Arabidopsis thaliana: one gene and its partners. The protein of the gene in region 1 interacts with the protein of each later gene in a pairwise test. Each region holds a gene or a part of one and is shown in the gene's direction. Other genes may lie near its edges.

What was found.
Region 2: the proteins of AT3G24490 (region 1) and AT2G38250 interact in a two-hybrid assay, tested with the Arabidopsis thaliana proteins (one large-scale study listed by BioGRID).
Region 3: the proteins of AT3G24490 (region 1) and AT5G01380 interact in a two-hybrid assay, tested with the Arabidopsis thaliana proteins (one large-scale study listed by BioGRID).
Region 4: the proteins of AT3G24490 (region 1) and AT3G25790 interact in a two-hybrid assay, tested with the Arabidopsis thaliana proteins (one large-scale study listed by BioGRID).

The regions. Positions count from the first base shown.
Region 1 is NC_003074.8:8,904,857-8,912,723, forward strand, and holds AT3G24490 (Alcohol dehydrogenase transcription factor Myb/SANT-like family protein), read left to right. Parts: upstream 1-5,565; 5' UTR 5,566-6,165; coding exon 6,166-7,167; 3' UTR 7,168-7,367; downstream 7,368-7,867. Other genes in the region: MSH7 (MUTS homolog 7), read right to left, coding at 7,562-7,867.
Region 2 is NC_003071.7:16,015,197-16,022,980, forward strand, and holds AT2G38250 (Homeodomain-like superfamily protein), read left to right. Parts: upstream 1-3,013; 5' UTR 3,014-3,187; coding exon 3,188-3,493; intron 3,494-3,740; coding exon 3,741-4,304; 3' UTR 4,305-4,960; downstream 4,961-7,784. Other genes in the region: AT2G38255 (hypothetical protein (DUF239)), read right to left, coding at 7,148-7,330.
Region 3 is NC_003076.8:152,830-160,555, reverse strand, and holds AT5G01380 (Homeodomain-like superfamily protein), read left to right. Parts: upstream 1-2,954; 5' UTR 2,955-3,104; coding exon 3,105-3,440; intron 3,441-4,136; coding exon 4,137-4,772; 3' UTR 4,773-4,946; downstream 4,947-7,726. Other genes in the region: AT5G01390 (DNAJ heat shock family protein), read left to right, coding at 1-56; ACI1 (ALC-interacting protein 1), read right to left, coding at 6,261-6,595, 7,033-7,726. UniProt on the Arabidopsis thaliana protein: Probable transcription factor that binds specifically to the core DNA sequence 5'-GTTAC-3'.
Region 4 is NC_003074.8:9,409,214-9,417,214, forward strand, and holds AT3G25790 (myb-like transcription factor family protein), read left to right. Parts: upstream 1-3,838; 5' UTR 3,839-3,982; coding exon 3,983-4,127; intron 4,128-4,231; coding exon 4,232-4,527; intron 4,528-4,848; coding exon 4,849-5,068; intron 5,069-5,181; coding exon 5,182-5,258; coding exon of another isoform or gene 5,259-5,297; exon of another isoform or gene 5,298-5,402; coding exon 5,403-5,738; 3' UTR 5,739-6,027; downstream 6,028-8,001. Other genes in the region: AOC3 (allene oxide cyclase 3), read left to right, coding at 149-395, 667-1,196. UniProt on the Arabidopsis thaliana protein: Probable factor involved in nitrate and phosphate signaling in roots. Integrates nitrate and phosphate starvation responses and adaptation of root architecture, depending on nutrient availabilities.

The DNA.
Region 1 (7,867 bases):
TCATTTTCATAAAATTCCCTGCATTTGGCATTACAAAAACCTAAAACATTATAAAAAAAAATTGGCATATCATTGATGGCTACGGTATACCTAAGTGCCGAGAATCCATGCACATTGCTAGATTAATTGTTTGTGCGAACGAAATGTTGTATGTAATATATGTTTAAAAAAATTAATACGATAAGAGAGTCTAGTTAAGAAAAAAAAATTCTTATGAGATGCAAAATGCTATTGTAACGTTTTACTTCGACTGAATTCAGATACATGTTACGAATTTGCGGGACGGATATATTAGCTACTTGTCGATCTTTTGCAAGAATCACATGGTTCATAAATTTGATGCGCCGCTAAAGCTCGATCCTAGACTATGCTATCAAAATAAACATATTCGACTGATTACGGTGATGATTGTTCATGTACTGTTTTGGGAATATATGTGTGATGTCTCTGATTATCTACCAGCTTTTCATTAGGTGGTGAGATGCGCAAGCTCGCAATCTTTCGAAACATATTGATGCCAACGATCTTTAGTAAACATTTTGTGAGTTCAACATCCACGTATAATAACCTGAATGATTAATGCCTATTAGCCTAGTTTTACCCTAATAATAATATCTACTTTCTAATGTATATTACTAAACATTTATCAAATTCTATAGCACTAGCATTATCATTTCACGGGCAGAAACTTTGGCAAGGAGCAGCACTAAACAATTAAGTCAGCAGATTTATGATTTCATAAAAGATATGTAGAAGTATAACACTGTTTTAAAAACCCAAAACACTATTATAAAACCCATACATTTTCGAATCTTTTATTCATTCTACAAACCCATACACTATTATAAAGCATGGATACAAATAATTTGATAACCGACTCCATTAAGGTTTATAATAAATTATAAGAATTTCGCGACACCTAACAGCCTAACTACCAGGTTTTATAAAAATCATTAGAAGGAGGACCAAACGAATCGCTTTAGTAATCAAAAGATTAGTTGTCTAATTAAGTTTGCTTTTGGAGCTTTTTCTTAGTTATTGCCGCAATGAAGCACACCGTGTGGGGACGTTTTGACACATCAGGTAATGTTCTCATAGACCAGCGGGATGTTCGAGGCTTTTAGGTCGCCGACATGTGTCGATTTTTGGATAGTCGAATTTAATAGTATATTACTTTAACGAAACAAATATGTAGAAAAATAACCATATGCTTTTTACTTTTGCATAATCACTTCTGTTCAAATTTACTTGGTATCCATGGTACATCATCATGTAAAACATTCGTTATGAAGTTTTTAAATAAAGTTATGTTAATGATTCGTGCCAAAAGGAGCACATTTCGCCAATAGCCAAAAAGAATTGTAAGAACCGAATTACAATAGAGTATTTGAATTTGTATTTTTAAGAAGTCATATGTTTTTTATGTTGAAAAACAATGTGAAGGAATTGAAGTCATCTAGAGTGAGTCGAGACGTATATTAAACATTCAAACTAGTTTAAGAAGTATGTATAACTCGTCCTATACACACAAGTTTTGTATCCTGACACTTTTTCTTGTGGGCCAAAAGGTCCCATAAATAATGCAAACTTCACTAATTCACGAGATCGTGTCTCCATATGAAGGAATTATACAAGTATTCAGATCTTGTTACAGTGTAAAATATTGAAAAAGGTGAAAGTGTTGCACTAAAAATCAGCCGTTGATGATTGATGAAGGAGCTTAGTATGGAGGATCTAGAGTGAACCATGCAAACATATACATATTTTTGATTATTTTATTAGATTTGTACGTATTGTATATAAATTTGGAAATTATGCATAATATGCATAGTATTCTTTTCCGTGGAGAAACATATAGATTTCTCACCTGAGCTTATATGAAAGTAACCACTATTTTTCTCATCACAAATCTCGCAACACTTCTTAATATGCTAGTAAAACTATAATGATCTAACGATTGGTACTGTTTTATTCTTTTTAAATTTTAAACCAACTGCTATTTTTAATACTCAAACATTCACTTTCTTAAAAACCAAGTGCTTCTAATTACTCTTAAAACCTAAATTATACATTTGAATCTAGGTTATCACTTCTCTTGTTAAATCAACAATGCTATGCGGTTAAATTTTGTCATGAATTTTTGATTTAAATAATAGAACGAGGTGATCAACATTTTCATCTGTTACCGGCTTCGTCTATATGAGGAGGCCAAGTGAAAGAAGTTATAATAACTAGGTAGGTCGCATGGTAAGTTTCCCATGAAGTCTTCAACGTCTTTTGTCCACTTGATTGTGCGCTAAATACTGTGTGAACATTCATTCATTATCTTAAGAACCCAAATGCTTTTAATTACTATTTAAACATAATTTGTACATTTGAATATAGGTTATCGAGTTTCTCTTGTTGAGCCAACAATGCAACATCTTTATTTCTGCCATTTTCAATTTAAAGAAAATGAATAAAATAAAATTAAGTATTTTGTTATTATATGCTTAGTCTTGTTAATGTAATTATAAGGAAGATAATGTTCCTTAATAGACTAGATGTGATTCATGAGAACCATGCACAAGAATTCAAAAACCCTAGAAGATTCGATGGTAAATGACGGATCAATTAGCAAAATATTCATGTACATTTACTATAACGCTATTGTATCTCTAGGATTATCGGGTTCTTGTAATGGATGATACACCACAAACCTTTTCTATATTTGTAATGCATTATGATTGACAAAAAAATAGTGTTCCTTGATTTTTTTTCTTTTTTTTGTGTGTGCATCAAGTGTTACTTGTTAATTCATTATTCATTTCATTATGTTTCTCATACACTCTAGCCATCTCTGTTTTTTTCACCAACTAATCATACAATTTTATAAATTTGGCGATTTTTTTAAAAAATAAAGACTCTATAGTCTATTTTTGATAATTGTATGTAACATTATGTACTATGAAAATATCATGCAATTGTGAAGATGACAAGGTTGTCATATCTTCTTATGAGGTAAGAAATTATTTCTTAGAGTATATGATCATTTGCTATTAGTTGTATTTTCTATCCTTCTATAGATATGTGAACTTCATTCTCTAGTTGAGTATGTATCAGAGTTACTTTTACCTTCCAGTACTAATGAATCTGGAAGCTCACACAGAATAAAAGTTCTTGCGTAGAGAAATACAAAATCTTAGTGCTTAGATGAACATTTGACCAGTGAGGTGAAGCAGACCACTATGGTTGAGATCATCTACTAGCAACCAGACCATCCAAAATCTCTTTTCTTCTAACCAAGAGACCAAGTCAGTGTCCCATCAAATTTGTTTTTTAATTTTTATTTTGGTTAAATATCAAATCCTTTATAACCAATTTCTCTTTTCTTCTCCATCCAATAAGTCTTTTCTATTTGGAATCTCATGTAAATCAAAGTGCTTTACAACTTTTTGGCAAACATTTTATCTTTAACACTAGACCAAAAACTTCCTCATTAATTAACTAAACTATATATATTATTGGCAATAGAGCATCCTGCTTTCGTAGGAATCCCCTTACCAAAAAAATCACCGAAGATACTTTTGGACTATATATTTGTCAAATCAATAAATAAAAATAAATAAAAGATTAAGAAATAAATGCTCAAAGCCTCAAAGTAAAGACAAAAGACAAAAAATTGGTGAAAGCAACATAGTTGGCATTGGAGTGAGCGAACGTAACCACTCATAACGCGTTTGAAAGAGATTGTTGTCAAAGACTTGAGAAACTTCGTAACGGTTTTATGATCACTCATTGACTCTCTCTCTCCGTTACACTTATGTTCTCGACGCGACCTTCCAACCATAAAATACTAATTTCATTTTTATTTTCACTTCATCGATATCTTGTGACATGTAATATGATTGGCTTATCAAAAATCTTTCATACGAATTTTCAAGTTTGTTCACATCTCTCTCCCAAGATATCCGTTTAGGAGCCTAGGACCGTTACTTCACTTTATTATTTTCATGTGGAGGAACTGTAATATATATCACAATTTTGTTGTTCTTGTTGATTGTGTAAATAGTAGTACTGGATACTAAAGAACAATGAGTATGTATCTCAAATATTTAGCTCAACCGTTTTATAAAAATACTATATTATTACCTTAAAATTGTTTGTTGCTTTATCAGTATTAGGTAATTATGAGATGTCACTGTTTAATCTATTTAAACGTTTTATGAGTTACATTAATGAAAAAAATCTGAAAAGTTAAAATTATACGAATACATACCTGTCTGACTCTACCTACTGAATTTTGTAAAACAATTTGTTATATTTTATAAGAAAGTTGATGTTGTAGTGTTTACTGTCTCATAAAAAACAATCTCTATTTATTTGATTTGAGACTTGAAATTTTTAAAGCTTGTTTTAAACTATACTGTTTTTCTTATAAAAAAATTGTATTAATTTTTTTTATAAATGAAACTGTTAAAAAAAATTGAAAATTTAGAGATCAAAACTAAACCTTTATAATCATTGAAATATATTGGTACATCTACCCACAAAACAGGTCAATCGTCTAGGTTTAATTATAATTAAGCCTAACATGTTAATGAGATTCAAACGAAATTAAAGTCCACAATGCCAACTCAACTCAAGTATCAAATCTTTTTCTTCTTTTTTTACTTAGCAGGAATACCAAACTCAAGTATCAAATCTTTTAAAATTTATTTTTTACTTATGTCAATGTGGGAATGACCGAGTTACTTAAGAGTTATGATTAATATTAATTCTTGTTTCTAACCAATTCATATATCATTGTCTTGGAAGCTTCTTCATATCAATGACTCAACTCTTAATTTTTTTCGAAAATCTGTTCTTACAAGGTCACACAATTCAATTTTTTTTTTGTATTGTAAATGTTTATCTCGTTATATTTACACTAACGAGATTTAAACACCTAAAATCAAATTGTACGAGACTAGTGTTAGTTATTCAATAGTATGATGCATTGATGCAACAAAATTCGTTGCGATTATTTATGATCCTTATCACTACCATGATCATTTCCATTAAGGTTATACTTACTTCCTTTTTGATGCATAATAATTACTCACCAACATTGAAGCGTGGTCGACATTTTCATTGGCAATAAGCATAACATTCATTTATTTATATTAAAACACAGAAACAAACAATTATTAAATAAAGAGTTCTGGCATTTCTCTATTTTAGTCCACTTAATTTAATACTATCATCTTCAAACAAGATTTCATCATTAATAATTTAAAAAATTATACGTTACATAGTGTATTAAATGAATTATCGTTGGGATACACTTTCACATTTTTCAAAAACGTATGAATCATAATGTGACACATGGAGATTTCCCACAACCGAGGCTCCCATAGTAGATGCTTATGCAATTCATATTCTTGCAGCTTAAACTCTTGCAAGTTCAGTAATAACACCGTGATATGAAAAATAAAACTTAGCCCTTTTTAATTTTTGAACTTATTCAGATTAATTAAAAGCATACGTAGCATATTTAAGAATATAAAGCAGAGAATCAAAATAACATATTGTTTCAATGGCACCCATTTTAGCTAGTCGATCAGTAACTGCATTCGCAGATCTTCGAACCCACCAAAAATCGACAGCTTCAAATCCTTTGAGCCAATATGACGCTAAAGGTCAAAATATTATGACCCTAAATGTCAGAAATTGACCCCATAAGTCATAAGTTAACCGACACCAAAGCTGATATTCGTTAGAGTTTAGACTCTCCTTTTCTTAATGATCGTTAGTTTTAGTTGGGAACTCTTGGGCTATCGGTTAAAATTAAATAATTGTGGTCCTCTTGGCCCATTAGTGCTGTCCAAACTGGCCCAATATGACCCAGTGGATGGTCCCAACAAACGCCGCGACAAAACTCCGTCGCTGGCTGAGGCAATGTTCACCGGTGGTGGTAGCTTTTCTTCTACTCCGACCCGGCTGAAAATGCAAATCCCTAACCCTAGACACGGCCATGGTTTATAAACCTCATCAATTTCTTCTACTTATCTCTTCTCAAAGCTAAACCCTCCAAGATATTCCTCTATTAGGTGCAAAAATCAGGTAAATCTCTATCTGTCCGATTTGAAACCCTAGATCTGCCTTTCTTCTCTCTTCTTTTGCTTTTCTGGGTTTTGCTCAAAGATGGGTGACAGCGAAGATGAAACAGGATACCCAAAAAAGTTTTACTCTTTGAATCGGCAAAACCATCCAATGTATAGTAGACCAATACCTAAGCGTCACGCGTATTACAATGAAGAAGAAGACGAAGATGAAGTCGAAGGAGAAGAGGAAGATCCACAAGGAGGATACATTCGTGGAAATGAGAGGTTTCAGAAGAGACAGAAACCAAACAAAGTAGTTTCTGGGTTTGAATTTGCTGGTCCTAGTGATGCTAAAGTTGCGTATGATTGGAGAGAGCAAGAAGCTTTTGTGTTGCTTGAAGTTTGGGGAGATAGGTTTTTGCAATTGGGTAGAAGGAGTTTGAGGAACGAGGATTGGAATGAAGTAGCTGAGAAAGTGAGTGAGGAGCTAAGGATGGAGAAATCTGAGACGCAATGTAGGAGAATGATTGATGACTTGAAGAGGAAGTATAGAAAAGAGAAGATTAAGGTTGAGAAATCAGGTTTAGGTTCAAGTAAATGGTCGTTTTTCAATAAGTTGGATATGTTGCTTTGTGTTTCGCCCAAGTCGGATTTAGGTTTAGCTTGTGGTGTTGATTCAGGTGAGTTTGTGTTTATGAACACTAAGGTTTATTTAGATAAGTCTAATGGGTTTGATGAGATGATGGATAGTCCTGGTGATTCTGAAGAGGAGGAGGATGAGGATGATGAGGTTGAGTACGAGAGGAAGAAGGTTAATGACGCTGCTTCGTATAAGATGTTGGCGGATTCTGTTGAGAGGTTTGGGAAGGTTTATGAGAAGATGGAGAAGAGTAAGAAAGAGCAAATGAAGGAGTTGGAGAAGATGAGAGCTGATTTTCAGAGAGATTTGGAGTTGCAGAAGAAGCAGATTGTTGATAGAGCTCAGAGTGAGATTGCTAGGTTACGTGAAGAGGAGGAGAATCATCATGGTGGTGGTGATGATGATGAGAGTGAAGATGAAGAAATGGAGAATGATTCTGATGTTAATCTCAGTGATGAGTAAGTTATAAACTATGTAGGTTTGTGTTGTTTGTAGATGCAACAAAATATGTTCTGTTTTTTTTTTTGGTTTTAGGGAATTCAGAACTTAAGTCTTATAAGTTTTGTAATTTGTGTTTGGTCTTTGCAACTTTAGTCGAGGTTATTTGCAGTTTATCTTGAAACTTAAATTAATGCATAAACATATTTCCTTCTTAATATACTGTTTGTGAGTATTTCTCTTGACCAATCTCATGAACATACATATATTATATACCATAGCTAAACCGACAGATACATATATAATCTTGTTATAATCGAGGAAACAATTTTTTGATATATAAGCATTTTTTAAGAGGAATAAACATCAGAGAAGCAAAAGACTTAACGAGCTTCAGATAGTGTTATGTCATAGCCATTTATTTGGGAACACAGTAAGAGGATTTGATCTCATGCCATAAGCAAAACAAAGTGTCGTAGTCATCTTCGCCAATGGGGGCATTGTTGTGGGCGACTCGAGAAATACCCACCAATGACTTGAGCCAGTCTTCATGCAGACTTGAGAACTCAGATCTTAGCTCACTTGACTTGAAGTTTTCCCCAATTGATCTCTTCATGGCTTGAGCAGCACCTGATGCTGTTTCAACCACTTGGTTTGGTATTCCAGCCATGAGTGCCACTTGAAGTCCGTAGCTCTCAGGACAAGCTCCCTCGGTTAAACGGTA
Region 2 (7,784 bases), on another chromosome or scaffold:
TGCCAACATTTGGAACGAAAACAGCCAAACCCATAGTGTATTTTTTTCATGGTCATTGTATTTATATAGACTAAAGTAGAGATCATCATAATTTAAATTATTGTTTTGGTTTGTAATCCACAAAAGCCAAAAAATAAACAAAAAAAACGAAATCATTTGAAAAATGGTTTGATTATAGTGGTTGAACCATCTTCTGTTTGGCGCAACATTGTTGAATGATTTTGGATGACTGAAATTCCCAAAAGAATAATTATAAAATACTCAAAAACTAATTTAAATGATTTTTTTTCAGTTATATCTCTAACATGTCTATGATATATAACAAAACGTTTAAGACAAATGTTTAAACATGAGAATAGAATCACGCTTTCAAAACGTGACAACTAAAGAAATACCATTTATCAATCTAACTCTGTTAAATTCGATTATCTATTGTTTTTCTTTGTACAAATGGTATTTTGATGCTATACATTAGCATATATAATAGGAACGTTCTTTTAGATGGTATTAAATTCATTTCATCCTATATATCTATTTCTTTCATCTTCTAGATCGAGATATGTCAAAAGGAAATACTAGATCCGTGATGTTGACAAAAGAAATTGTCCGCCTAATATGTTGAATATTGTGAACGTAAATGATGTGATATAGTGTGATAAATAAATAAATAAATGAATCAATTACCAGATAAGGATTTTTAGTGGCATTCATAGATTTGCCGAAAAAATTATATCTAAAGTTACAATTTACACATTTAGGTTTACTTGGTTCTATTTTTTTAGGGTATAATATTTGTTATTATGTATTTTATAAAAAAAAAATGGAAACATAATGAAACAAAATTCTCAAATACATATTTTTATTTAAAAAGTTTCTCAAAATTTTAGCTTTTAAGTGGCAGAAAATAGTTTTTTTTTTTTTTATAGATAAAGTGAAAAATCTAAAATGGCAAAATCAACAATAATCCAAAACAACAAAATCAACAAATCTAAAAAACTCGTTGATTGTTTTGAAGACAACAGCTATGTGGTGAAGAAAAAATGAAGAAAAACCAAAATCGACATGTGGGCTACTGTGTAAGATGCATTCATTTACAGCTACCAAACGCACACGTGACAATTTTTTTTTTTTTTTTTTTTTTGTTTGTATATATTATATAAATTTAAATACAATCGAAAACAAAAATTCTTCGTTAAACTCTTTTCAATGCTGTATTTGAAGCTTCCTATTTTTATTATTAAAAATATGTTGTTTCTAAAAAATATATATATATATATATATAAAAATTCTTTTCTTGACTCTACAAAATTTTTGTTTGCTAACAATTTTACCTTCACTGTTTACTATACAAAAAATCTCTGTTTTAGTGAATAATATATGCAACTAAGTTTTTCGCAATAAAAATACAATAAAAAAATTGTAGCTAGCTATAGTCTGGTCACAAACCATAGGAAATGTAGCCTCTAAAAATAAAATCAATAACAAATTTGTACTGATCTTTTTATATCGACATAAATTTGGTGAAAGTCCAAATAACATGTTTTTCGTACCATAATCAACCAAGTGGTGTTCCTTCAACAGATACATAAAACGAGGCAAAATAAAAGTGAACGAGGCAGACAAAGAATTTTCCAAACCTCATTTAAGGGACTAGGTTGACTTTAGTCCTTTACTTTAGAAGAGAGTTGCAGTTTTCATCTATTGTAGGGGTTACACAAAATTTGTTCTTATGTGAGTCCAATTGCCAAATTGTACATCACTCGAAGACAAATTGGGCCCAAACTGTGTAGAATGGGTTTGGGCTGCCAACCCATAATAAACCTTAAGTTGAAAATGAATTAGTTTGGCACATGCTTTTTTTTGTCATGTTCATGCTTTTAAAAAAATTCAAAATTGGCCTAACAAGTTTCACATCTCTAGAATGTTGTTCCTAGCTGGCTAGTTCCACGCACGTGTCACACTATAATTTGTCATTTCGTGAATGAAGAAATCATTCCAACACTTTTGTTATTTTGATAACCATACAAGGAATAACACGTGAAGGAATTTAGGAAACGAGAGATTCTAGAGAAGTCACCTAGTTTTGTATTTAAAAAAGGTGCTCAAAATTAGAAAAATATCGAATTTTGTTGAAAAAGGGAAAAATAAACAAAGACAAAGTAGTAAATAGAAACTTGGGCATGAAGCTAAGGATATGACTGGTCGCCGAGAATTAATAACCACACAGTATTATTACAAAAAGTATACAAACCGAAACTTCTCGCGGTGATGATGAAACCTCAACGCAATGTTATCGTCACATCAATTTGATTCCTCATTATAGTATGAATGAAAAAGCAGATTAAACAGAAAATACATAAAGAGCTCTATAACTCAATAGGAAATATTTACCACTCACCTATGTTTTTCTTACACTTTCACTCTAATTTATTTTGACAAAAGAAAAATTGTATTATATTATTTAAAGACTTGACTTTCTCTTTAATATTTTACTGTTTTTTATATTTAAAGCAATATAAAAAATTATCATCATTTTAATTAAATTTATTATCCCTACCATTTTACCAAACCAACTCAGTAATAAACTCATTTCATACACATATTTGACAAATATGTCGACTGTCAGAATCTAGAATACTATTTGTCAAATGAAAGTGATTACATTATGAGATAACGATAGAAATATCCACATCTCTCCTGATCACCAGTCAACATATCTTTTATTAACGAATTGACTGGTAGTTTAAGACGCTAATTATCCTTTGCTCTATAATACCATTTCAATCGATATTTTAACTAATTATATACTATTAGAAATGAAATGACAAATCTGCCGAAAGCTTTTTTCTTTTTAATATTTTGTCAAAAGAAGACACACAAAAAAAAAGTAAATTGTATTAGAAAAAATCCAAGACAGAGAAAAAAGTAAACGCGTAGACAGATGGCGACAGGAGAAAGAGAGAGTGGAGAAGAAGAAAAGAATTGCGATCAAAGAAAATTAGACTTCTTTCTTCCAACGTTTTCACATTACAAATACACAAAAACCAAAAGATAAAGAAAAACAAGAAATATTTTGTTTTTCGATCTGAAAAAGTGAAAGCTTCTTCAAAATCTTTGCTTTAGAGATCGTTTGGTGATTTTTTTTCTTTATTTTTTTTTTATAGTTTCTTCTTCTTGATTCTTTCATATGGATGGACATCAGCATCATCACCTTCACCAGCTTCAATATCTCAACAAGCATCATCTTCATACTCAATCGCAAACGCCGGAAATAGCCTCTCCGGTAGCTGTTGGGGATAGGTTTCCACAGTGGAGCGTCGAAGAGACAAAAGAGTTGATAGGGATAAGAGGAGAGCTAGATCAAACTTTCATGGAGACAAAACGGAACAAGCTTCTTTGGGAAGTTATCTCTAACAAGATGAGAGACAAAAGCTTTCCTCGTAGCCCTGAACAGTGCAAGTGCAAGTGGAAGAACCTCGTCACTCGTTTTAAGGTCTATTCTCTCTCTCCCTCTTCTTTCATTTTGTGGATGTTTTATAATCTTGGAGGTCTTGCATGGAACAAATAAATAAATAAAAATTTGTAACCAAGAAATATTGAATCTTATAGTCCATAATCTTTCCGGGACATATAGACAAACACCATTGTAAATATTTCTGAATCTTGTTGTCCATAATCTGCTAAGTAGTTTAATTATATGTATACAATCTCATTGGTGATGTATTGCTTGATGTTTCTAGGGATGTGAGACAATGGAGGCAGAGACAGCGAGACAACAGTTCCCTTTTTATGATGATATGCAAAATATATTTACCACTAGAATGCAGAGAATGCTATGGGCTGAATCCGAGGGAGGAGGAGGGGGAACAAGCGGGGCAGCGAGAAAGAGAGAGTATTCTTCAGATGAGGAAGAAGAGAATGTGAATGAAGAGCTAGTAGATGTCAGCAACGACCCAAAAATTCTAAATCCGAAAAAGAACATTGCAAAGAAGCGAAAAGGCGGTAGTAATAGTAGTAATAGCAATAATGGTGTAAGAGAAGTGTTGGAAGAGTTTATGAGACATCAAGTGAGAATGGAGAGCGAGTGGAGAGAAGGATGGGAGGCTAGGGAGAAGGAAAGAGCAGAGAAAGAAGAAGAATGGAGAAGGAAGATGGAGGAGCTTGAGAAGGAGAGGTTGGCAATGGAGCGGATGTGGCGGGATAGAGAGGAGCAACGGCGGTCGAGGGAGGAGATGAGAGCAGAGAAGAGGGATTCACTTATCAATGCATTGCTTGCTAAGCTTACTAGAGATGGTTCCCTCTAATCTTTTGTCAGCTTTGCTTAACCTAAATTAACTTGTTCTTATATGCTTGTTTGGGGTGTAGTGTAGGTACAATTATTTGGTGGGGGAAGATAATATCTACGGCAAATCTCAACACTCATATATTGATTGATATGATGACATATTTGAGTTTTAGTGAGGCTTTAGTAATTTATCATCCCCACATTATTTCTTCCTAGTTTATATTTTGGCGAGCCAAATTCTTATAGCATATCATTTAATCTTAGTAGTATACTGGTTTTAATTAGTAATTTGTAGGACCGTATGTGTAGTATTTTAGAGTAATTTGGATTTTGTTAGAGTTAACCTACAAATCCATATATAGTGCAGCGAATGTAATATCGGTTTCAAATATTATCTTCATGCAGAAGAGAACGAGGATACTAATAGTTTATGGTATTATGAACTAATTAACTTTGATGAGAATGTAGAGATCAAGAGGGCAAAACAGTTAGTGGAAATATTAAACATGCTCGAAACAAGAATGAAAACTTATCCTATGAATTATGGGATCATTTAGGTCCATTGTCTGCGATCTAAACTTTTATTATTTTACCATAAATGTTTTCTTGTAACATTGAGAATCATATCTAACATGGCAAGATAATACGTGAATGCGTATGGCGTTTCTTATCCACATAAATTTGTTTTACTTATGTTTTTTTTTTGTTTTCCACATAAAGATTAGTAAAGATCTTGTATTATTTTATTTGTAAATTTATATTTATATAATTATATACTAAGGAGATGCTTAATGAATAAAATACACATCACATGTTAATTCTAGAAAATACGTTAACCAGTTTTTTTTTGGTAACATTGTTGTTTCTTTATTTATTTACTAGCTATGAACTCATGCGTGGATTTATTTGTAAAAAATTTAACAGTTTTTTGTGTGACTAAAATATTTTATTGAAAATTTTGAAAATATGATTTTATATATCTATTTGTTGTTAATATTATAAACTCTTTGAATTTTAAAATTATCATGACAAATAGTAACAATTTAAATACATAACTAGAAATAACCTTTATACAACTCTTAGATTTTACAACATTTAGCAAAAGAACATTTTTTTGGTTAATGACTCTCTCTTTAGCTTTAGATATTTAGGATAACGACGTCTTTTTTTACGTATTAAATAAATTGTTGTATAGGAAATAGATTCGACGATTCTCATTTTGGTACCCGCAAATTTACTATTGTTTTTCGTTTATCTTCGCTGCATTAGTTAGTATAGCTCTTCTAAAAATAAGATATTTTGTAGAAATATATTCGTAAGTTTATCTACACTTTCTTTTAACAACTCATATTTTTCTCACATTCTTTTCAATATGTATATGAATTTCTTTCACAATTTTTTTTACAGAGAGCTATGACTCTCCCTATCTTTTTGCAAAAACTCGTTTTATTTGTTTCATTTTTTCTTACAGTGTCTCTTTCATCCTCTTATGATTTTGTCTAAGCAATATGTGCCATACCTTCTTAAATTTTCACATGCTCCATATTTCTTCTTCGAAAATCTCTTCCTTTTCTTGTTAGTATAAGCATTTTTCAATCTCGTCAAGATGTACTCTGTTTTGTTTTCTGTTATTCTAAGAAAACGTTTTAGCTTCTAAATTGATACTTAACTCTATCACTTCTCCTTTTTGATGCAGTTTAGATCCTCTTCACCTTCACGCTTCCCAGACTGAAAGACCTTAGTTTATATCTTCGAGAACTTGATTCAAATTGATACGATTAAAAACACCACCATCAAACCACGTCCTTGTTACGTTTCTTTAAATTATATTAAAATGTTGGATTACTTGTATAAGATCTTATAAGGTTTGGGTTTAATATTACATAATTATAATTCTATAGCTTCTTTTTTTTTATAAGTTTAAATTTAATATTTGTTATTTTCCTTTTCTATTTTAAATTTTAAAATAGAAAGTAATTACTATTTTCAAAATTGTTAACTAATTAGATACTAAATATGTTAATTAATGACATGTTTAACGCGGATTGGTCGTTCTAAATCCTATGTAGACGCCTTTAGAAGCAAATAGTTTCAACATTTATATAGTATAGATTTATTTGACATTACTTTCTCATTCCCACATCTTTAAGCGTTTTTTTTAAGATCTTATAATACTTTTTGTTCACAAGATGAAAATAGTTTAGTTAAATTTTATTTATCTTTTAAATTTTAATATAGTTTCGGCCGATACATATAATTCATTTGTCATCAAATACCACATTTTCCACCTGGTCCCCCAAAAGAGAAACTTACTCCAGTTGACTTGAAATAACCCCAGTATGATAGTCTATAACATTGGTAAGAATCTGCATATATCCTTGCTTTCCTGCTTTCAATATCAACTAGTTGATAATTTGAATTCTTAACTTTAACATGAACATAATGTGAACTTTTAAAATAGCTAATAACCGGAAAATGTCCATTTCCCATTGGAGGACTAATTCCATCCGGAGATGTAAAAGTATTTCCTCCAAATCGCACCAAAGAAGCTCCTTTGTTTAAGTGTGTAAATAGTTTTTTGGGCCAATAACCAACTATTTCGTTCATGACAGTGTCTTTTAGTACCCAGTTTCCACTGAAACCATCCTAACAAAACATAAAACACTAGAAAATGACTGCAAAAATATTTAAATTTTATACGCATATATGTTATTTTAAAAAGAAATTTTGATGCACTATATTGCAAAATGGAAAATTATAATGCGGATGAATGTGATTATTTCAAAAGCCTAACAAAGAATTTGGATTTGTGGCATGTTATTAAAATAATTAATAACTAAAATTCTTATCATTGTTGTCGAATTATTTGTCGTATAAAATGTGAAGAAGATTTACCTGGAAAACTTGTGGTCTGATAACAACTGATCCTTTACCACCATAAATAGAGGATTCATTAAAAGCGATTCCAATTTGCGGAACTCGACTTATAATAACAAAGCCAGGACAATTTGTATTATAACACCCAGTTTTCTTATACCCATCTGCCTAAAAATTCAAAAGAGGCAAAATATTTTGAGATACGAGATACAAAGAGACAAAATGGTATCAAATGTTTTTTTTTTATAAACATATAAAGATATGATTTATTTTAGAGAAATTGGTAAAAATGCCCTTTCAAGACTATCCCTTTTTAACTATGCTATTTCATGTTGGTCATTTTTATTTATACTCTCTTTTAATTTTTAGTGACCATTTTACCCCTATTTTGAAAATGTTTTAGGTTAACAAAATAAAATATTAATTTTTCTGCCTAAAATATTCAGAAGATAGATTTTCCGATAATTATTTTTTTCGAAAATATTTTTCCCGCAAAAAAAGAAATGGCGGGAAATAGATTTACAAGGGTTTTTACAAGATTTTTAAAGGGTTTAGAAGGATTTTAAGGATTTACAAGGGTTTTTCAAAAAAATTTAAAACATGTACAAGAGTTTTAAAACCT
Region 3 (7,726 bases), on another chromosome or scaffold:
CTTCGAAGCTAACCACTGAGCAGAAATCAGGGATCAAGCGGATGTTATCACCTTGAATGTCCAAAGATTGAAGCATCTCGTTTCAGTTTTTTCAATCTGCTAGCTTTTTTGGAATCTTTTAGAAGCAGAATATGTGCTTATGGTTTTTTTAATTTATTTTGGTTGCATTTTGGTAAGGTTTTTAAGGGAAATACATACCACCAAATGATGCCGGTTTAGTTAGTAATGACTGACGACTAGTGAAGTAAAGTCTCTCCTTATATCTCTTTGCTAAAAGCTTCAATATTTGTTTAATAGTAAACATTGTCAACAGATTTGGAAAGACTAAATCAACGTTTAACAATATGTCAAAATGTAATTCAAATTGATTAATCATAGTAGCGAAATTTGAAGAACCTTTTTCTTTTGTTGATTAAAAAATCCAAATCTCTACGTTTTTCTCACATTCTTCAATCTTCTTGACCTTGTCCCGTTTAATTCCTTCACTAAAATCTTTTCAACCCTCACGTGCTGATGTTGACATGGAATAATTGTTGTTACTTGTCAAATAATAAGAAGAAGAAAAAACAGACTAATGTATGTTCCTCTTTGATTGTTCTGGTTAGGCAAATTACTTGCATATCTCCACATGTACGAATTAGTAATATTCATTCATAAAGTTAGTATGATTTATAGATTCAAAAAAATAAACACAGATCGAGTTTAGTTTAGTCAAATATTTGAATGTTTTCAAGAACAAGAAGAGTTTCTGCAATCAACTGAAATATCATTTTCATGGTCTTGGTTCAAAACCAGCAGTATTACAAACAGTGAGAAAGGTTTTTGGTATTTGTAACAACAATGTATTGTTGCAGTGACTCCAAATTCAAAAATGGAAGTCATGTGCATTCACCAAGTTACGGCAAAAGTAAAAGACTAAACTTATTACTATTTCCGAATAATCCGGAGCGATACCCTAAACAACATTCACCTCAAAAGTTCTAAATAACACGAATAGGCTGATTTTTGTATATATGCTTTTGGCTGACGTTTTTTTTTTGTTCTTTGCTTTAAGACTTCAATTCTTTTAAGCAAAAATTTGGATGGGAAATAAAAAGGATGATGAGGTGGCCTACTTGTATTGAGCGGATAAACATCAGCCAACAAAAATCTTTGTTAAAATAAAAAGTGAAAGACAGAGAGAGAGATGGCCACGTGGACAAACATGGTGGGCGTTTACACGTGGAATATAACAACACTCCGCGTTGCTGATTATTTGATTCCATTTAAATAAAATTAAAAAATACTGATTATTCTTTCTTTTGTTCACAGAAAATTCCTTCATTCACAATTTCTCTTTTAAATAATTAAAGACCACAAATTTTGAACATAAGAATTAGAAAAATTAAAGATCATTCACTAGAGTAGTCGACATTATTATTAATTTAGTATAAATAAATAAGGTGTGAATCCACGTGGGATGACAGGTGGGAGCGAAGTCTAGTGCATGTCATGTAAGATTTTGATTTACTTTCAACACGCTTCATCGCTATTTGGACCACTTCGCTGACTTTTTTTTGTTTTTTTTTTTACTACTGAGTAGTACTAGTATTTCTTACACATATCAGAGCCAAAAATACAACCCCGACGAATCTTTCTTTAGATACAAATAAAAAATATTTACTCCTACAAGTTTCATTCACCGTACGTTTTACTTGTTATATCATTGCAATGACGCGGCTTCTAAATATGTACTACCATATGTGTGTTTGGGAATCTGACAGTTGTATATTGCACTGGATCCAAACCATTTCAGAACAAGAGTACATTTTCTCTGTTCGTACGCATTATTTGTTTTGTGCCGACTGCGAATATAACGATTTCCATTTATTCATATACTAAATATCATACAATCCATAAATGAATAGTCTTCTTTTTTTCTTGGGGGAATTTACAATTCCAATCAAATTAATTTCTTAGCTAATCATAACGGTAGTCTTGTTTTCTGTAACTTAATTCTTCTTCTTTTTTATTTTGATAGGAACGTTAGGTATCTATTATGTAAAACTTGCTAACAACAATTCTCTAATTCTTTGTTTATATCTGATCTCTTCCTCCATGACACGGGGCTAATCTAAACTTCTAAAAGCATATTGATCCAATAGCTTATTTAATATATTTTGTCTGTCAACCATTAGGTTACTTTTGTTACGATGAATTTTTCAAAAGAAAAATACAAGAATTATGGGATGAGGAAAATCTAGTGGGTCAATTGACCATAAAGGCTAAATCGGATTGAAGAATAAAAATCGGATTGTGACTCGTAACTCGTAAGCGTGACGAAATATTAACGCAACATTTATATGTATTGGGACAAATTATTAACGAATAACTACCAAATGCAAAAAATACGAGACAGTTGAGTACTTGAGCTTGGTCACAAAATCATCATCAAGGAAAAACAATAACCATACAGTAAAAATATAGTTCTACAACTTTACAAATTTGAAAGCGTGTTTAGAATGATGCACACAAATAATCAATCTGTCAAAAAAAAACATATTGTTTGATTTTACTCTAAGATTAAGGCGATTGTTTTTACTTAAGATATTCTTAACTGATGCAAGTTACCCCTGTAATTGTTTGAGATTGCTATTTTTAAACTCTAGAATACGAAGAAAAAAAAAGTATGAATTATTTAGTTAGCTGCTTTAAATCTAGAGTTTATCATCCGAAAAAGGGATATCTAAGCTTTATTATTTTTAATGTAATCACGAATTGTGTCCTTTTCACCAAAAGAGTCATTCGTGTTCGTATTTTATTCAACTAAATAATTCTATAAGTTCTAGTATATTCAATAATTATTAAAAAATCTCATCTTAATAATTTTAATTAGAGAAAAGAACAAAAAACTACACTTCTATCGTCCCTCTACGATTTCACACCTTCTTTTCACACATCCTTATAAATTAATTAGATTCTTCTCTTTTCTCTCCTTCCTCTCTGTCTTCTCTTCTTTTTTTCAATGAAACCTCTCTTCATTTATAAGTAACCCAACAAAAAAATAAAATTATCTCCCTCTTATTTCTTCTCTTCACGTCACAAAGACAATTCGATTCCAAATAATGGACCGACGTAACCCTTTCCAACATCACCACCACCACCATCAGCTTCATCATCACTTGATCCAACAGCAACAGCTTCCTCCGCCGCCGCTGAGCACCACGGCGACGATGGATCCCGGCGGAGGAGGAGGAGGTGGGGAGAGAATCCCACAGTGGAGCATAGAGGAGACAAAGGAGCTTTTGGCTATAAGAGAAGAACTTGATCAAACTTTCATGGAGACCAAACGTAATAAGCTTCTTTGGGAAGTCGTGGCTGCTAAGATGGCCGACAAGGGTTTTGTCCGAAGCGCAGAACAATGTAAGAGCAAGTGGAAGAACCTCGTCACTAGATACAAGGTTACCCTTCAACTCTTTAGAATCCTATTGATGATTCTCTCTATATATAGTCCCGATATATACACCTATAAATGTTTAGTATGATCATGATTACAAGTATATACAAACTATAATTATGTGTATCATGTATTTCATCACTAGTTTGTGTGGTTAGACTGATATTATGCATATTGAAATGGAAACCTAGTTTATGGTGTATGTATAGGTGAACTACATTATATATACATCAATTAATGAGCTTAACCTAATCGCCTAGGTTTTTTAGATATTGTCCTGTCATTAATGGTAACGAGCTATAGAATAGAATTTTACGCGTTTATTGGTGAGCTTTCATCATGATATTGTCTATGTTCACATTTTGATCCGTTATACCATAATATCTCTCTTTTTGTTCGTTGATCACATGGTAAGTAAGTAACACAATATGCCATAAAAATATAATTACCGTTATATAACGGGTGCATAAGATTTAATAAGAACCGTTACTGATGAACACATGAAGATAGTTGAAAAAGTCTATACACACATTTATTTAAGGTAAAAGAAACGTGATATAGATGATGAACATGTGTTTTTGTTTTCCTATGATATATGATTTCGAGTTAAGATACTTGGTTAGCTAAAATATTTTGCGTCGGTACTATTACGTGTTTACATATAATTGTTTATATAACATAATGAATATTCATGGGACAGGCGTGTGAGACCACTGAGCCAGATGCTATTAGGCAGCAGTTCCCATTCTACAATGAGATTCAGTCGATTTTTGAAGCAAGAATGCAAAGAATGCTGTGGTCAGAAGCCACAGAACCAAGCACTTCCTCGAAGAGAAAACATCATCAATTTTCATCTGATGATGAAGAAGAAGAAGTTGACGAACCAAATCAAGATATCAACGAGGAATTATTGTCTTTAGTAGAGACACAGAAAAGAGAGACAGAAGTGATTACTACTAGTACTTCGACCAATCCAAGAAAACGTGCAAAAAAAGGAAAAGGCGTTGCGAGTGGTACGAAAGCTGAAACTGCGGGTAATACACTAAAAGATATATTGGAGGAGTTTATGAGGCAAACGGTGAAGATGGAAAAGGAATGGAGAGATGCATGGGAGATGAAGGAGATAGAGAGGGAGAAGAGAGAGAAAGAGTGGCGGAGGAGAATGGCGGAGCTAGAGGAGGAAAGAGCCGCCACAGAAAGGAGGTGGATGGAGAGAGAGGAAGAGAGACGGTTGAGAGAAGAAGCTAGGGCTCAGAAGAGAGATTCTCTCATCGATGCTTTGCTTAATAGGCTTAATAGAGATCATAATGATGATCATCATAATCAAGGTTTCTAAGTTCTCATTATTTGTGTTAAGCATAAGTTAATTAGCTAGTTAATTTGTTAGGCAAATCAATTTAGATAATATATCTAAATTAATGTTTGTTTTATAATATTTATATGAACTATTGAAATTTCCAAAAAGAAAGATAAATGTTCAAATTTTGATATATGTTATCGTGGTATGAAAATGAATTTATCCTTCTAAAAACAAAAAAAATCCTGGTGGAGAAAAATAAACCTTCAATATTAGAGGAAGAAAAATAAATAGAGAGGGAGTAAAACGAGCAGGCAATTACTAAATATAATATAAGGTAACATGTGAATTAACTAAACGATAAGAATAAGAATTAATAAATCATTTAATAGTTTACGTACATGCATAAAACAATTGTATAGATATTAATTAGATATGCTAGTTTGAATTATATTGTTCATAGTTATAGGTGTCCAAAACCAAATTGGTTGAATACTTTTAGCTACTTTATTCTGTTAATAAGAATATTTCATAACGATTAATCAGGCGATAAACAAGAATTAAACAAAAGTCTTTATTCCAAAACTTTCAATTCACATTTGTCCCACATTACTTCACCGCGTTATTTGTGTGATATATAAAACTTATTTTGTTCATAAGTAAATTGTAAAGAAAGAATTTGTTATTTTTATTCTTTTCTTCTCTTGCAAGACAGCTACCAACAGATAAAAATACCGAAAACATGAAACCGTGTTATAACGCGTTCACACTAATATATCCGTTCATTTTAAAAAACACGTATTACTAATACGCCGCGTCAGCTCAATTGTATAGAGCCGTGTGACCAACTCTGTGAGGTCACCAGTTCGAATACAAGGACCTTCAATATTTACCACTTTTTCGTTGGCAAAAAAATAGTTTATGACTAAATGAAATAATTATAATTCGAAACTTAAATAATTTAGAGTGGGAAAATGTTCTTGAATTTTACATGTGAACCCCCCAAAAAAAACACAGAAAAGTACAAAAAAACGTCAAAGAAGTAACGTTAGAAGGAGACCATGATTTGCATGTGAAATAGACATAAAGGAGACAGTACGTATTTCGAAGTTACGGAGCTCTCCAAAATTCAGAAGAAAACCGATTTGACCGTTTTTGGACCCACTACATGTATTTATAATGCATTTGATAATTCGTCATATCGAATTTGAATTTAATTTCATTCTTATGATCGAGTATTCGAGTCACTAAGATTATCCTTGTGCTTATTTGGTGATATTCGCCATATACATACTTGTGTTTTGGATAGGTATATTTGTCTATAGGACTATTTAAGACGAGTACATTATAGTCTTTAGTACTAATCATAAATGTTAACCATAATTTTTCTGGTCAATAACTTATATTGGCCGCATAACACTTTTAGAAAATATGGAGTGATGAAAATTTCGATTGTTGTGAGTCTCTGGTTAACATTTGGATTACAAGATTTTAAAACGACATATTTCTGATAATTGGGAATTTAAACTAGATACAGAGTTCATCAACTAGCTGGTCCATAACAAGGTCAAGAATCTCTTGACCAAATTCGACACAAAAATCTTCGACCTGAGTAAAGTCAACGGGTTTAGTTGACGAAGTAGAAACCCAAGTGGAAGACTTCATGTCTTCTTCAGACAGATCTGAGAGCATATTCATTAGTTTTGTGATAAACTCTGTCTCTTCTGAATCATTGTTGGTGCTATTGTTGTTTTCTTTCTTGGTACTTGTTTTTGTTTTTGCTGGTGATGAAGAACATGAAGATTTTGTTGCTGTCTCTACTTGCTTTGTTGACAACTCCGATGCACTTTCTGAATCTCCTCCTGTTTTATTTTTCAAATTAAAGTGACGTTTAAAATATGATTGGGCAAATAAAAATAAAATTTCTCGAAAATGTTGAGAAAGTCTCATTTTCGCAGCTTTTTTTACAGTAAAATCAAGAAAAATGTTAAAAGCGAAAATGTTCTTATATTGGTTAAATTTAATCATTTTTCAAATAAATCCAACGTTTAAGGAAAATTCTTATATTGGTCAAATTTTGAATAATCTTATTATTTAGTATTTCAAATAAAGTGTACTGAATCGGTTAAAATGTTGACCAAATGACCAAATTTTTACCTCATTTGCAGTTAAAGTAGGAAACTACTCACATGAGATGATTCTTTTCGCAAAATTTCAAAGAAGGTTCAAAAAGCAATTAATTAAGTTCAAATATTTGTTCGAGAGATAAAAATGTTTGAATATTATTTCGTAGACTCACCTGAGAAGTAGTAATCATCGTCAAGGATTAGATAATCATAAAGATCTCGATCAAGAACCGAAACCGGACTCGCGTTAGACTTATTCTCCGGCGACTCACTCTCTTTTCCGATAAACTCATCAGCCCGAATATTCTTTGATTCTCCTAGAAGCGCAGTCTTCTCCGACGACGACTTACTCTTAGATGGAGAAAGAAACCAACGAACTTTCTTGGCTCCGTTAACGTCATTTCGATTCTCACTCTTCTTCTTCTTCGCAACTTTCCTCGGCTCATCTTTAAACTTCTTAGCAACTTTCTCGTTCTCCTTCTTCTTCGGCGCCGAAGGTGGCAATGGCGGCTTCTTGGAATCTTCCACAACCTTCTCGAACCTTTTAGACCTCGAAAAAGACGATGATCCGACAAGTTCTCTCTTCTCGTCAAGCTTGTCAAGATACAACAGCAGGAAATCATGTTTCTTTTGTTGGTTATTAGAGCTCCATCTCGCCGAGGTTGGGACTATCTCACGGAAAGAAACGGAAGCTTTGACTCTCCGGCACTGACGTTGACCGTCTTTCTCGTCTTCGTTTTCTTCTTCTTCCTCGTGACCTTTTAGGATGTAGTCCATGAAGTTAACCGATTTGCTCCTTGTGACAGCCGAACCGGAATCATCAAAGTACCGGAACCGTTTTGATCCGGGTGCGGGATGATCTAGCCC
Region 4 (8,001 bases), 500 kb from region 1:
AAGCATCTTTTGACATATACGCACGTGTTACTTCATCATCGTCCAATATAAATAGACTCATTACTAAACTCAACAACCATTAAAACCAAAGATCAATCTCTTCTTAATAGTCAATCATATATCAAAAAATTTAAACTCTTCTTGATCAATGGCTTCTTCTTCTGCTGCTATGTCTCTTGAATCCATCTCTATGACAACTCTCAACAATCTCTCTCGTAATCATCAATCTCACCGCAGTTCTCTTCTTGGTTTCTCAAGATCTTTCCAAAACCTTGGAATCTCATCTAACGGTCCAGATTTCTCCTCCCGATCAAGATCTACTACTTCCAAGAACCTCAACGTTACTCGAGCTTTCTTCTGGAATTGGGGCAAGAAGACCGAAAACTCCAGACCAAGTAAGTTTAATAGTTTATAGATCCTTTTGTCTTTTAGTACACTGCGACTAAGTCAACGCCTGTTAATCCGATATTTTTCCTAGATTTGAGACAAATCAAGATTTAAAGACTAATAATCCTTTTTGTTAGCTCAGAAATCAAAATGCTTTATTTCATAAGCAAAATCGATTAGATCTTTAAATGCCCTGCTCAAAATTGATTGGTCTAAAAAATAATCAGATCTTAAAAAAACAAAGTACCGAATTCATAAATTCGAGTTTTAATTATTCAGGTAAGATCCAAGAACTAAACGTGTATGAGCTCAACGAAGGAGATAGAAACAGTCCAGCAGTTCTTAAACTCGGCAAGAAACCAACAGAGCTTTGTCTCGGAGATCTCGTCCCATTCACAAACAAACTCTACACCGGCGATCTCAAGAAACGCGTGGGAATCACGGCAGGTCTCTGCGTTTTGATCCAACACGTTCCTGAAAAGAGCGGTGACAGATTCGAAGCTAGTTACAGCTTCTACTTTGGTGACTATGGTCACTTGTCTGTACAAGGACAATACTTGACTTATGAAGACACGTTCCTCGCTGTCACTGGTGGCTCTGGAATCTTTGAAGGTGCGTACGGACAGGTTAAGCTTCGTCAGCTTGTGTATCCGACAAAACTGTTCTACACTTTTTACCTTAAAGGGTTAGCTAATGATTTACCGCTGGAGCTTACTGGAACGGCGGTTACGCCGTCGAAGGATGTGAAACCGGCACCGGAAGCTAAGGCGATGGAGCCTAGTGGAGTTATAAGTAACTTTACTAATTAAGTAATTAGCTGTTTAATAGTTGTTTTGTTTTGTAATAGAATATTTTGATGAGTTGTGTGAGGTTAGTTAATGATGTGTTGAGGGAATAAAGTATTTATTTTGATGTGACTTTATTGATTACAACTGGTCTTTCTACAACGTGGAACTGTTGTACTCGATTTCAAAGTAAAACTTTTTACATTAGTTTCGGTATTTTCACGGAATAAATTGATAGCTAGAACCTTTAATCTTATGGTTTAAAATGGTACACTCATATACACAGTTAGGGTAGTGGAGTTAATGCTAGTAATTAGTAACACAATATTTTTTGGTTCGTTATGGTTTTGGTGTTAATTGTGTTAATGTCATAATGCTTTAACGCTAATTTGTTGTTGGCACAGATATTTAAAACTAAAAAAAGCAACCTAGTTATTGCTGGCTATCTTTTTAAATTGAGAAGTTAACATCTTGTCAAGTGAATCGTGTAATATTGTTATACTCTAAAGATCGATATTATTGTGTCTACCAGTCAAAACATGTGTTGGAGGGAAATTTTATTTGTAGGTTCATCATATGTCAGGAACATTATTGTCATGTTTCTGTAAGCTTTCTGACATTTAAGTTCAGATTTTGACCATAAGTTTTGATCATAAATGAGAAAAGAACAAAGTTAAGTTTAGTTTTGCGAATGTTAAAAAAAATAAATATCTTATTTGCACTTTTTGAATTATTTACCAAATATAAAAACCAAGATGGTGTTTTTTTTGTAATACCAAAAAAGAGAGAATTTTAGCTACGAGAGAATGCAAAATTCGGATTTGTGATCCGTTTTATTGAAAAAGATTTTAGTTTCATAGAACATATATCAAGTAGTATACAAATTGAAAAATAGGGTCTGATAGATCCGAGACACTTGGGTATTATCACCTAACTTTTAAACGTTTATGCCAGTTTTTTGACAAACAAATCACGAAGTATTTGAGGATAAATACAGTATTTGTTTATGTTTTCTATCTTTTTTTAGGAGGATGAGTTCATTGGTTTGATCTTAAACAATTGAAAATTTATAGGTTACCACCAATTTTGCGATTTTTTTTCTTCTTCTATACTTTAGATTTAAGTTTATATATAGATATTTTCGTTTGATATCAATATGGGAAGCCCACAAAGTTGGGGAGTTTAGTGGTACCTTTTTTTTTGGTTCACAATTGCATACGAATATTGGGGAGTTTAGTGGTACTATTGCATACGAATATTGGAGATACGAGAAAGGGGTGGAAAAAATTGATGATAAATTGAGCCCAAGTAGGAAACAATACACAAGGCCGTATATAAAGTTGGCATGTTGGGTTCAATACATGAGGCCGTCTTTTTGTTCGGCCGCGGCCAGTGGTGAACACTGAATATGGCCTTTTGAGACTCCGAGGGGACAATTATAATCCAACACTAAAATACATCTCTAAACTCTATTTGCCAACTAATTTCTTTATTTAAAATACGTTTCAATCTAATCAAAACAGATAAGCCTGTTAAACACAATTTTGATTTCTCGAGACTACGAATAGGTGGATCTATTTGTATCATAACATCATAACATATAAATCGATATTTAAAATTTTGAGTAATAAATTTGATGTTGGTCTCTAACAATTTGCGGGTAATTTCTTGATATTTTGGACATCACCCGAACATATTAGCTCATTACACACCAATTTCTATAGAGGCAACATATTTTCTTATCATTAAAGTTGACAGCTATTAGAGCCCTTAATCACGTTTGATTTCATATCTAATTCCAAATTATATGGATATAACAACAGCATAGCATATAAATTGATATGTGTAGCATTAGGTTATATCTTTGACCGGGAAATGCATTGGCAGGCCATTATACTGGGAAGATGCATTCGCATATATATTAGTAGGTGTACTTAGTAATCGTCTACTTGACATAATTAAAATTACCGGTCAAAAACACGAGATATATAGGAACTCATATTGTGTGGATATATATATTAGTTTACATGTGTATTTATGGATAAGGTTATAACGAATTCAACAAATTCTCAAGGTCCTATGAAATTTCAACAAGTATATTACAGTTTTTTTTTTATATATGGCTTTTCTTCTCCCATGTTTCGGCTGTCTACGAAGAGACATTTGGCTTTTCATATTGGGATATTGAAAAATACATTTTCAACGTTTTATATATGATTTTGTGTGGGTGAAATTAATACTTACAGAACAAAAGAGCTCATGCACGTTTAGTGTTATTTTGGCGGCTGTTTTTAAGGATTTGCATATATTCTTTCCCACGTATTGAATTCTATAAATGACATAATAATCAAACTTGTAAAAATAATAGAATGAATAGTTTATAGTCTTCCAAAATTCGATTTCTGTTGTAGTGGAATCGCAGACATTTTCTAACTTATGAATGTTGTTATAGGACTTCTTTAAACCTTGGTTGGATATACCCAAATAAATATAAAGTTCACACGAAAAAAACTTGGAATCACATCCAGGAATATTCACCACTGGATCAATACTACTATACAACAAGGGAAAAAAAAATATTTAACTTGGGAAGGTATATACTTATTTTATAAACAAAAGCAAGATTCGCCTTGTAATGCGACGGCCCGACTTCTCTCTTTCAAATAATGATCCTTGAGAAACCCTATAGAGCCATATATACGTTGTCTTTATAAAGAGACATAACTCATCTCTTCTTGACTAACTTTATAGTTAAAGTTATCAATTATTCGAAAACAAAGCTGGTTTTTTGTTTTGTCCCTTAAACCAGCATGATCAAGAACTTAAGTAATATGAAGAATGACAATCAGAAACGTGAAAAATGTTGCGAGTACATCGAAGCTCTCGAAGAAGAACGTCGCAAGATCAATGTTTTCCAACGCGAGCTTCCTCTTTGCGTAGAGCTCGTGACTCAAGGTACATACATATGCATTTACATTTCATATAAGATATAATGAGTTTATATATATGGATTAAATGTTAGATCTAAAGATTTTTAAAAAATGTTTTATGGAATTTAGCGATTGAGGCGTATAAGAGGGAGATATCAGGGACGTCGACGGATAACTTATACGGACAGTCGGAGTGCTCAGAGCAGACCACCGGAGAATGTGGGCGCATCTTGGATCTGTTCATACCAATCAAACACTCTTCGACCTCCATAGAAGAAGAGGTTGATGACAAAGATGATGATGATGAAGAACACCAGTCTCATGAAACCGACATAGATTTTGATGACAAGAACATGAAATCTGAATGGCTCAAGTCTGTTCAGCTCTGGAACCAATCCGACGCAGTTGTTTCTAATAATAGACAGGTAAGATTTTTATTTTATTTTATTTTTTCTTTGTTTACATTTGTGTTTTTGTTTGCCTTGAATTACATTTACTGTATTGTTTCCAAACCAGCCTATTGACGTTGTTAATTGTTAACGTAAAGACTAAACGCATAACCTTCTGTGTACTTTATGCGATTGTGTTTGTAACTTACAACTTCACAAATAGATTATTCTTTTTTCTTCCAGTTTTTGTTTTTTTTAATAGACCGAAAAAGGATGGGTGCACAAAAAGATAGTAAATTGCTCACAAAAAGATTTTGTTTTGTAATTTAAGTTTCTAATAGCATTTTGCGTATTCAGGATCGCTCACAAGAAAAGACAGAGACGCTGGTAGAGTTGATAAAAATAAACGATGAAGCAGCGAAGAAAAACAACAACATAAAATCACCGGTGACTACTAGCGATGGTGGCAGTGGCGGTGGCGGTGGCAGAAGAGGGCAGAGAAAGAATAGGCGGTGTTGGTCGCAAGAGTTACACAGACGCTTCTTGAACGCTCTTAAACAACTTGGTGGCCCTCATGGTGCGTTTCTTGGTTTTAAGTTAAAACATATATATCAGTAGTCATATCTTTTTGTTAGGGCTCATGAAGTTTAATTAATTCGTAATGACCTTTTTGTTCACTAAATTTTGAAGTAGCTACGCCGAAACAGATAAGAGATATAATGAAGGTTGATGGGTTAACAAATGATGAAGTCAAAAGTCATTTACAGGTTAGTAAATCATATTCCATGAAAAATACATGTAACTAATATGTAAAAGGTATATATTAATTTCATCATTTTAGTTACAAATGTTTTTATAATTTAGAAGGAAAATAATATTTATTGTTTCATATTTTTTTTAATGATAAATAGAAATATAGGCTGCATGCAAGACGGCCAAGCCAAACAACACCGAACAACAGAAACTCTCAAACGCAACATTTCGTGGTGGTTGGTGGAATATGGGTCCCACAGACTAACCATTCAACGGCCAACGCAGTCAACGCCGTCGCATCGGGTGAGACCACCGGGATTTATGGGCCTATGGTCAGTTCGTTGCCGTCCGAGTGGCCGAGGCATTCCAATTTTGGTAGGAAGATTTCGGAAGATAGATCAAGATGCTCTAACAACGGATTTTTTCGGTGTAGCTCACCAGCTATGTCTTGTTCTACTCGTACAAAGACGAAAGATGCAAAAATAATATCATAAATTTAATTTTTGATTATTTATTAAGAGAAAAAAGTTATAGACATTAATATTGTGAAGAGTGTATATATATAGATGTTGGAGCGTGACTCTATGTTATTTTTAGTTTCTTGGTTTTTTTCTATTAGCCGATGATATCTTTGATCAAAGATCCATATTAGCTAATGCATACTATATTTTTTTACGTCGTGCAATATGCATATCGATGATAATAAGTTAATAACACAAAATTATTAGATTACTAGTTGAAGAATCGTATATAGAAAGAATCGTAATTATATGTAGAATGATGGTATATTATCAGCATATATTTTTATAGAGGCTTTAGCCACCAAAATTAATAAATGTCAGTCACAAACTCAAATTAATTAATTTCGTCCTTAACATATGTATGTCGGCCAGGTTTCTATTTGCTATAGTAATATAAGATACACAGAAACATTGTAGAAATGTAAAATGTCTTCGAAAACAGAAGAAAAATACATATATAAACTTTTTTGAATGAAAATAAAAAAAATTATGCCATACAGAAGGATCGGAACTCGGTAGAATATGCCGGAATCTGAAGAGCATAATCTGCAAATATGTTTTTCAGGTTAAACTTTATTCTCTTGTTGCTTGTACTGGATATTAACACAAATGTGCACGTTGGGCTCCTTCTCGTGGAGTGAATTATTCTTTATTTGTTCCTTTTACTTTTGTAAATACAATTTTTCCATATAAGTATATAACTGTGTAAATATTAAACCCAAAATATGTTAAAAGACAAGTTTTTTTGTAACTTAAGGGCAAGAAACAAGGTGTAAAGCCACATGAAAATTGCTGACCATTCTAACTCTCGACACTACTATACAATTAATATCTCTTGACTTGTACTCATTCTCTATAACAACAACAATTGTTGGGTTTTCTTGTTCGCTCTCACTGTTGTTTATTAAGTGTTGTTCGTTTGCGAGGTTTTCTGAATCAATAATCAAAATGATTTCGATTGATAAGTTATCCTTTAATCAAAATTTCTTGGTTCCTATGGTTTCATCACCTCAAACATAAAAAAATCATACCAAGTTGTTAAATATCTTTAAAAATTCCTACCAAGTTACTAAATAAGTGTTCACAAATTTAGGGATCCTTTCATGTGACTCTATGAGCCATGTGACCTATTTTTCTACTACCTTTATAACAAATGGGGCTACAGTTTTAATAATATTCTTACTGATAATTTAATTTGAATACGAAGACCATTGGGAAACTTGAACATTGAGAAAGGCTATTGGAGTTCCCGAGATGGCGGTTTGATCTATTTCAAATCTTCAATAATATTACTATTATCAAATACTTCTTTGATTCTATAGATGTGTAAGTATTAATAATTTAATATTTGACGATGGATCCAAAAGAACAGGAATCGGATTAGGGTTTCCTTATGATATGATTTATTAATAGATTGGAATGGGTTTTAAACTCTTAGAAGCAGGATCTTTATGTGACCTTTCAGAGTCATAAAAAGCCTAAATAGCTCTTGATACTTACTTTAAGACCATTATGAGATCAAACCATGGAAAAATAAACAAATAGTAAAGCAACAAATGCTTTTTCTTGGTCTATACTTCATTACTTCTCATATTAACTAATATCATATCCATAAGGAATATTCGACTACACCTATTATTAATTGTATAATGTTAGTTCATAATTTATCTACATTTGTGCATAAACAATTAAACATATCTCTGATTAACAATAATAAAATATATAGTACGTGCTAATCTTGTTTTAATCTTCTCTTATATAAGATTAGGATTGATCAACCAAGTTTGACATGGTGTCTTAGTCTTATAGGAGTGAAATTTTTAATCAACCTTCCAAGGATTCTTTCGTCTATCCACGATGACGAATAGGTTGAAATGGAAACAGATTTCTTTCAGTTCTATACGTGTTTGATTTTATTTTTCTTTTAATAATACAAAATAATTATCAATGAAACTATTTAAATAGTCTCAGAGCTATAAATGTAATAAAGTAACAATGTTTACTAATTTTCTAATAGCAACATGATGTTTCATTATGTTCTTTAATTATTTCTGCAAAACAAGTATCAATTTGGGATTCAGCTAACGTTGAGTGCTAGCTGCTCTTCACATTTGCACACAATTTTGGGCTAATGAGCCCGAAAAGTTTACGAAGATGGACCAAGCCCGTTTATAGCCCCCGAGGTTAAAATTCCGAAAGGTTAATTCCCAAAAACTTAAAGGTTTTGACGATCTAA